Linked DNA regions of Saccharomyces cerevisiae S288C. The gene in region 2 interacts genetically with the main gene of each other region. Each region holds a gene or a part of one and is shown on either strand. Other genes may lie near its edges.

Region 1 (4,264 bases), on a different chromosome or scaffold from region 2:
TTTGTCCACTTCAGTCTATTCTTATAAAACCAATATTTCATCCTGGTCCACGCAGATCGCCACCCCGATCTTACAGCATCTTCATCCGTTATGAAATCATCACGAAATGGATCTTCACTAAAATCATTCAGCTCGTTATCGAGCGACTCTAAATCATTCTGAAGTTCCATCTATAGAGAGTGTTATACTGTACCTCTTTTCAGATATATGTAATTACCTCGCCTCACTTATTTTGCTTATTTGTGGTTTGTTAGGCAGTTTGCATATCGTACCAATGTTTTTTTATAACTTCATGTCTTTTCTTTTTTTTCATTTTTAGCATCGTACGCAGATATCTTGTCTCGTTATGATATTTTGTGAGATAGGTATCCAAAATTAATAAGAGAAAATGTCGTATTGTGTTCACAATTCACCTGATTGTTTGACTAGTCCAACCCCTGGTATAATTGTCACTTAATATATTCTTAGCTTCCAGGTGATGTTTTATTCCATTATTTATGTTATGTATATATAATCGTAACTCTTAGAGCAAAAAGTAAAAAAAAAGGTGGTACTTACCGAGGGAGAATATATACAAATTTATTCGTAAATGTAAATAATTAATTGAAGCAGAGCTAAAAGAAAAATACAAGAAAATTTATTTACACTCGCTGTTTGGTTCTGATCTTTTGGTATTCACAATTTTAGTGCTGTCCAAAAATATTGCGATGTGCTGATAAAGTACATAGTGTGATCCGACTTCGTCCCAGTCAAAGAAAGGATGAAATATTAGTTAGTACATTTACTGGTTGCTACTGGATGTCCTATCTGAATCTTCCATCTTAGGTACAAAAAGATTAAGAAAGTCAATTGTCCTTAGTTTTAAAAGACAGTTACTTCATGTCTTTAACATCAACGGCAAATTACTTTGAAAAAATGCACTAAAAGTTAACACATGTAGGAGCATTCTAAACATGAAATTTTTAATGGTACTTAGGTTTGCTAACGCATCTTGAAAACTAGCAAAAACCCCATAATTAAAATATTCTTGCTTGTTAAACGAGGCGTCCAAGCCATTGAAAGGTTTTATCAATATTCAACCTCTTACTATAAATGCAGCACACCGTAACAGGTATGAGAAAGATGTGGTATTATTATACAAATTGTACTGACCGCTTTCCTACTAATAAAACCAATGATATCCTAGGGACGCTCGAGTTTTCACATTATAGAACATTTATTATTATTTTCGGCATCAAGCCCCAGAGTTCCTTCGACACGTTCCATTTGTTTCAAAAGGAGCATAAAAGTTTCTTCAACATTATAATCTAACTCGGCACTGCATTCTATAAATGCTGCCTGGTTCCTCTTATCTTGACTGCCAATTGTCGAAGCTAGTTTCTCTCCTTCAGCTTTCGTGACACACCTTTTTACACCTTTTGTACTCCTTCCCAAATCAGCTTTGGTACCCACAAGTATTACCGGGAGGTTATCCTTACCCAGCTGATCTACCAGCTTGTCCCAGAGAATGGGAATAAGATCAAAGCTAGCACGATTTATTATACTATAGCACAGTATTATGCCTCGTACGCCCGTCAACGATTTAATGTTTAATAGAGAAACTTCATCTTGGCCTGCAGTATCTAGAATTTCCAGAGTACAGTCATGACTTTTATAAGGAATTATCCTGGTAAATTCATTTTCAATAGTGGGATAATAGGATTCAACGAACCGCGATTCTACGAAGCGAACCGTTAATGTGGTTTTGCCGACATTTCTAGCTCCTATAAGAGCAATCTTTCTCTGAAAGTTATGTGTGGAGTTCGAAGAAGACATAGTGGCGTATTCCATTATGTCACAGGTTATATCTTTTCTCGCCGTGCCCCAATAAAACTGTTTCGGTAAAGAGACAATTCGAACCAGCCCAAAAGAATGAATATGAAAATATCAATATGCGTCAATGAAAATGGAGGCAAGTTCAATAATTTCACTGGAAATATAACTAGTAATAATTCGTGTAACTGCTGTAGAAATTGTTAGATATTAAACCTGGCAGAAGCGTCTTGTTAATACTTATAGAGAAACCACCAGTAGCGTTCTTCTGTATCTGAAGATAGTGAAAAATCAAAAAAATAAATCTGTATTCAAAAAAAGGTCCTACCCGGATTCGAACCGGGGTTGTCCGGATCAAAACCGAAAGTGATAACCACTACACTATAGGACCAGGACTTCTTGTAATATTTTGTATCTCAAAATGAGGTATGTCAGTATGACAATACGTCATCCTAAACGTTCATAAAACACATATGAAACAACCTTATAACAAAACGAACAACATGAGATAAAACCCGGCCTTCCCTAGCTGAACTACCCAAAAGTATAAATGCCTGAACAATTAGTTTAGATCCGAGATTCCGCGCTTCCACCACTTAGTATGATTCATATTTTATATGAGAAATGGGTGAATGTTGAGATAATTGTTGGGATTCCATTGTTGATAAAGGCTATAATATTAGGTATACAGAATATACTAGAAGTTCTCCTCGAGGATTTAGGAATCCATAAAAGGGAATCTGCAATTCTACACAATTCTATAAATATTATTATCATCGTTTTATATGTTAATATTCATTGATCCTATTACATTATCAATCCTTGCGTTTCAGCTTCCACTAATTTAGATGACTATTTCTCATCATTTGCGTCATCTTCTAACACCGTATATGATAATATACTAGTAACGTAAATACTAGTTAGTAGATGATAGTTGATTTTTATTCCAACATTATATAATATATAAGATAAGTAACATTCCGTGAATTAATCTGATAAACTGTTTTGACAACTGGTTACTTCCCTAAGACTGTTTATATTAGGATTGTCAAGACACTCCGGTATTACTCGAGCCCGTAATACAACATAATATCTACATTCTAGATACCGACATATCAATATAAAAATACTGAATATTGAGACATCTTTTAGATTACGTTTTGGTTGCCGCAAACCAAAAATGCAATTTAAATGGGTGAATAATTTGAATGGTTAGAAATCTATTTGTTGGAATAAAAATCCACTATCGTCTATCAACTAATAGTTATATTATCAATATATTATCATATACGGTGTTAAGATGATGACATAAGTTATGAGAAGCTGTCATCGATGTTAGAGGAAGCTGAAACGCAAGGATTGATAATGTAATAGGATCAATGAATATAAACATATAAAACGGAATGAGGAATAATCGTAATATTAGTATGTAGAAATATAGATTCCATTTTGAGGATTCCTATATCCTCGAGGAGAACTTCTAGTATATTCTGTATACCTAATATTATAGCCTTTATCAACAATGGAATCCCAACAATTATCTAATTACCCACACATTTCTCACTATTCTCGGTAAAGGTTATAATATTAGTGTTGGAATAAAACTCTAAAATACCATCCATTCAGAAGTATTCATGCTACTAGCATTTTATCACATGAGGTGTAAGAAGATGACATAAAGATTGAGATACAGTCATCAAACCTAATGGAAGCGAAATGCAGGGATTGATAATGTAATAAGATAATGAAACATAAGAAACAGAAGGTAGGAGTATTATTATGTAGAAATACCGATTCCATTTTAAGGATTCCTATGTCCTCGAGTAGAACGTCTAGTATATACGAAATATTATACCCTTTAAAAAACAGTGGACCCAACGATAATCACAACATTCACCGATTTCTCACCTGAACAGATCACGATCATCCTTCAGAACATCTTGCTGTAGCCATATTAAATTCCTTTGTCTCTGGACTCTTTCTCGCGCGACTGATCTCCCAATGAAGAACTGCGTCAGGTCATCTCGTCCTCAATTTCTAACCAAAATTGGATGATTTTAGTTCTCACTGACGCTGCTTGAACGTTAACACCGAAAGAGCATGCAATAATCACAGCACGGTAAACCAACTTGTGTCATATTTAAGAGAAATATTAAAACGCTAAGAAGATAGCTCCCATAATAGAAGTACAAGTTATATTTATCGTTGTCCAACTGCAGAAGTTAAATAAAGGTAAATAAATCGAGCTAAGAGAAAAAAAAAGTATAGGCAAAATTCCGACCGGAGCTAGCTTTATCTTGCTCCTCCACCTAAGTCACCTGCTCAGGTCACTCAAGTTCACAATCTTCTGAGAGGATAGATAAAGGAAAAATTGGAACAGATCTTTTCATGGCCTGGCAATTGTCTGTGGATTGGTAAAGCTCTGTCAGTGAAAAAAAAAGTTCTCGCTCCT
Region 2 (4,012 bases):
ACAATCATTACAAGAAGCATTGAATTACTCAAATGAGAAGTACAGGATTTTGGAGGATTTACTAGATTCTTCAAACATTCATCCATCATACACCAAATCTAGGAGAACCATGTCTAATCTAGCTAGAGAAAACGATGAGATTAAGCCCTTGAAAATTGATCTTTCCCCGTCTCCAATAAGAAGAACGAATTCATTATTCACTTCCAGCCCCATGAAAACATATAATCGGGATGGAAATATACCAGAGATGCAGCCGTTACAGGAAAACATATCTCCCGCCTGTCCCACTCCACCCTATCGTTCAAGGGAAACTGAAAAAGAGGATGAAACACTTTCACCAATCTCAGTGGACTTTTCAAGTTATTTATCTTAATTTCTCCTGTGAAATTAAAAGTATTCTCCATATATGGAGCGCGAAGATCACGGCCTAATCCTCATGATTCATTTTATAGATGCTTTATATAATAATTAGAGTACACATAGTTTTCATCATATTTCCGTTAAACTGGTTGTACTGTTTGGCCGTATGTAGAAGTATTATTTTCCATGTCAGAGACTTTTATTTTTTGTATATTTACCTTTATTATGGCTGTATCTTCTCCTAGTATAAAAATATCTGCGTCTGGATTGACTGTTAATAACAACCGCCTATAATAAGTAGATTCTTCACTATTAGGGTTCACAATATCAGCAATACCATTGATAGTAGCGCTCACTTGATTCAATTCACTTTGGTTCAAATCTCGTAAAAAGTTGTTAAATTTTGTAGACTCTGACTCAACAAATGAAAAATCATCTTTACTATGGACGCTTTTTTTTCGAAGAGTTAAATTTTTAGCTGTGATCCAATCGTGAAATAGCAATGCAACGTTTGGGTTGCTCATGACATTACGAAAGGTTACTGATTTCTCGAACACTGTGAATATAATATAGTCATTACAATCTATTTCTATACTATACTCATGTTTATGGAAAGTTTCCGCGGATGAAACAAATATGTAATGCATCAACGAAACAGATGGTATACAATTTGACGAGCATGTCGCCACATGAACATACTTGGAACTTTTAATCAGGCGTAACAGGTCTTTTGGTATTTGTTCATTGAGTTTCATCTTTAAAGGCTTGAGAGATTTGTTTTTTTAAGGTTTACTTTCCTTTGCAGAATGTTGCATAATTTTCACTATCAATTATACGTTTTTCAGATCAGACGCCTGCAACCCTAATTTTCGCACTCTGAACTTCGTATTTATCGTTTATTCAGTATAGAAAAGGAATATCAAATTTGAAATTCTAGATAATATTTATATATATGAGGTATCTAGAAGTGCGTTAACATTAGTGTTAACTGGGCTGCACCCACTTGTGACGTTTAAATTTCTGTCCCGGGCCTTTATCGTTTCTAAGCGCTTTGGTACGTCACAAGAGTACGCCTGATATTTTGTTGTGACATTACGTGTATGACTTATTAATACAATTTTTATGGATGGATAATTAAATCAATTTAATATTACCATTTGATGAAAAAAAGAAGGGAAACAAAACAAACGGTAAAACACTGTTTATTTGAAATGAAATGAAATGAAACAATATTGGATATTGAAACGTTGATATATTGAATTGATTCAATAAGTATTATTATCAAGGCGTAGGTAGCGCTTGCAACTTTTCTTTCTTCAGTTCTGTGATTAGGTCTGCCCAGGACAGTAAAATTTCTTTACAAAGTGGGTGAAATTCGCCTAAGTCAGGATCATTAACAATTGCTTTCAGTAGCTTGTGTAATTTGCTTTCGCGTAGGGCCTTCAAATCAAAAAAGGGCCGTTTGGTGTCAGAATTCTCATATATTCTATTTAATAGTTCATGAGTTTCCTTGATCTCATGCTCAGTAGGAGGTGTTTCTCTCTGGATTAGATTTCTTTGAATCCTGCGGCGAAATAACTGTGAAATTTCTACTCTTCTGGAATAGTCTAATTTAACTTTCTTTTTATTGCCACTGTTTGATTTTCCTCCCGAATTAGCTGTGGGTCTCTTTTTTTTGGACGGTTTGATGTTCGGTTTGCTTTCTTCTTCATTTGATTTCTGGTTATCTTCCGGATCTTCTTTGATGGATATTGAATTTTTTTTTCTTTTATTCACTACTTTTGTTCGACCTACAAAGGGATCTTCTCCGGCAACGATTTTAGAACCTTCACTTTTCTCAAACGCTTTTAGATCACTTAACCTGTTTTCTTCTTCAAACTTTTCTTGTAAAAATACGTTGAAATCATCAAAATTTTTTGCTTCCTTATAAGCATTGACCAATTCCCTTTGGTTTGCATTTTTACTATGTTCTAATATGAAATTGTGAATGCTGTCTTGATCTAGCTCCTTTAATCTACTGGGTTGTTCCCAATAATAAGTTGGATCGTTGAAAAAACAAACAGCAACACAATTGGATTTTCTCTTTCTATATACATCGTTTCGCAGCAAACGCTGTGGAAATACTACAGCTGGCCAAGGTGGAAACGAGCCAACTTTGCATAACACTAAATCGCCTGTTCTAATATCTTTTGTCATAAACTTGCGGACCAAACCAGGGATAGCTAATATCACAAAAGAAATGGAAGTAAAAACAGAAAAAAATAAAAGGGAAAAAAAGCCAGGAGGAGCAACGACTGTAGGTCCTAAAAGAATGCTTGTGAAACTTCCAATATAAGCTTACCAGTAGTCAACTCACAATATGCAATAACAAATATCTGAGAGAAAAATAGATATGTCCAAATCTCTCTGCAGAACTTAACGAAACGTATATTGATATTTTAGCCCCTTTGATGTATTTTTTACAACAGAAGCAACTTTTGTTTATTTACCATTGATTGATTATTCTAGAAAATCAAAAAAAAAAAAAAAAATAAATAAAATAGAAAAGAAAAATACTATAATTATTACCCGCCATTGGATGTTTCAAAGTTCAATTAAGAACAGCTTACCGTAATGTAAATGGAGAGAGACCTTGTTTCTTCCGTATTGTACCAAACTATCAATCTGGAAGAAATCAACACGCTATTGCAGAGTTTTTTAATTGGGGAAGTTTAAGCCATTTTCATTGATAGGTGGTTGAAATAAGGTTATCATCCAAGGCGACTGATAGGGTTTTAAAATGTCCGAATAGTTTAATTTTGCTGCTACTCACTTTACAGTGCGACGTTATTTCTTTTATCTGTTCATTCCCTGACACACCGATGTAACTCTGAGGATTTATCCTACAAGTTATTTTTGTTATCGGAACATGCAGATTGTAAAGATCAGCTATTGCAAATTGGTGAATACAAGTGCCCTCAGAATCGCTCAGTCCTGCTCACACATAAATGCAGACGTTATTATGCTTTCTTGAAGTAAAAATTGATGATTATTAGTTGAATAGTAGTCGCTTTTCCGAAGATGTTACTTGTTAAAATAAAAATCAATTATAACCTATTGACTAGTATTCTCACTACTAGTATACTGCCATACACAATGTAAAGAGTATAACGTAAATGAGGAGTTGACACGAAAGAATTGATAACGTGATGGTGTTGGAACGAAACCCTATCATCATCTATTGACCAGTGTTCATGTTACAAGTGTATTATCATATGCGGTATAAAAAGACGACATAAAGATTGAGAAACAGTCATCTGACTTAATGGAAGCTGAAATGCAAAGATTGATAATGTAATAGGATAAGTAAGCATATAAAACGAAAGGAAAAATAATTGTAATATTATAGTGCAGGACTACCGATTCCACTTTGAGGATTCATATGTCCTCGAGAAGAACTTCAGCATATCCTGCATACATAATGTTATTGCCTTTATCAACTATGGAATTTTAACAATTATCACAAAATTCACCTAGTTCTCAGATCTTTTTTCCAACGATTACTACTGAGGATTGTTTGCCTTAGTTATCGTTCAAATGCTGTTAGCTATTTCCCTAATTAATAACAAGTGCTTGAGATGTCTTATATTTATACTACAGGTTATGGTTTTCG

The links. A genetic interaction does not mean that the proteins touch.
Region 1: mutations in YLR456W (region 2) and RHB1 together harm fitness less than expected from each alone (positive genetic interaction), as found in Saccharomyces cerevisiae (one large-scale study listed by BioGRID).

Annotation. Positions count from the first base shown.
Region 1 is NC_001135.5:166,170-170,433, forward strand, and holds RHB1 (putative GTPase RHB1), read right to left. Parts: upstream 1,831-4,264; coding exon 1,201-1,830; downstream 1-1,200. Other genes in the region: nucleotide diphosphatase/phosphodiesterase NPP1, read right to left, coding at 1-170. UniProt on the Saccharomyces cerevisiae protein: Binds GTP and exhibits intrinsic GTPase activity. Involved in the regulation of arginine and lysine uptake. Acts through the CAN1 permease.
Region 2 is NC_001144.5:1,052,173-1,056,184, reverse strand, and holds YLR456W (pyridoxal 5'-phosphate synthase), read right to left. Parts: upstream 1,116-4,012; coding exon 501-1,115; downstream 1-500. Other genes in the region: NBP1 (Nbp1p), read left to right, coding at 1-373; PDP3 (Pdp3p), read right to left, coding at 1,642-2,556.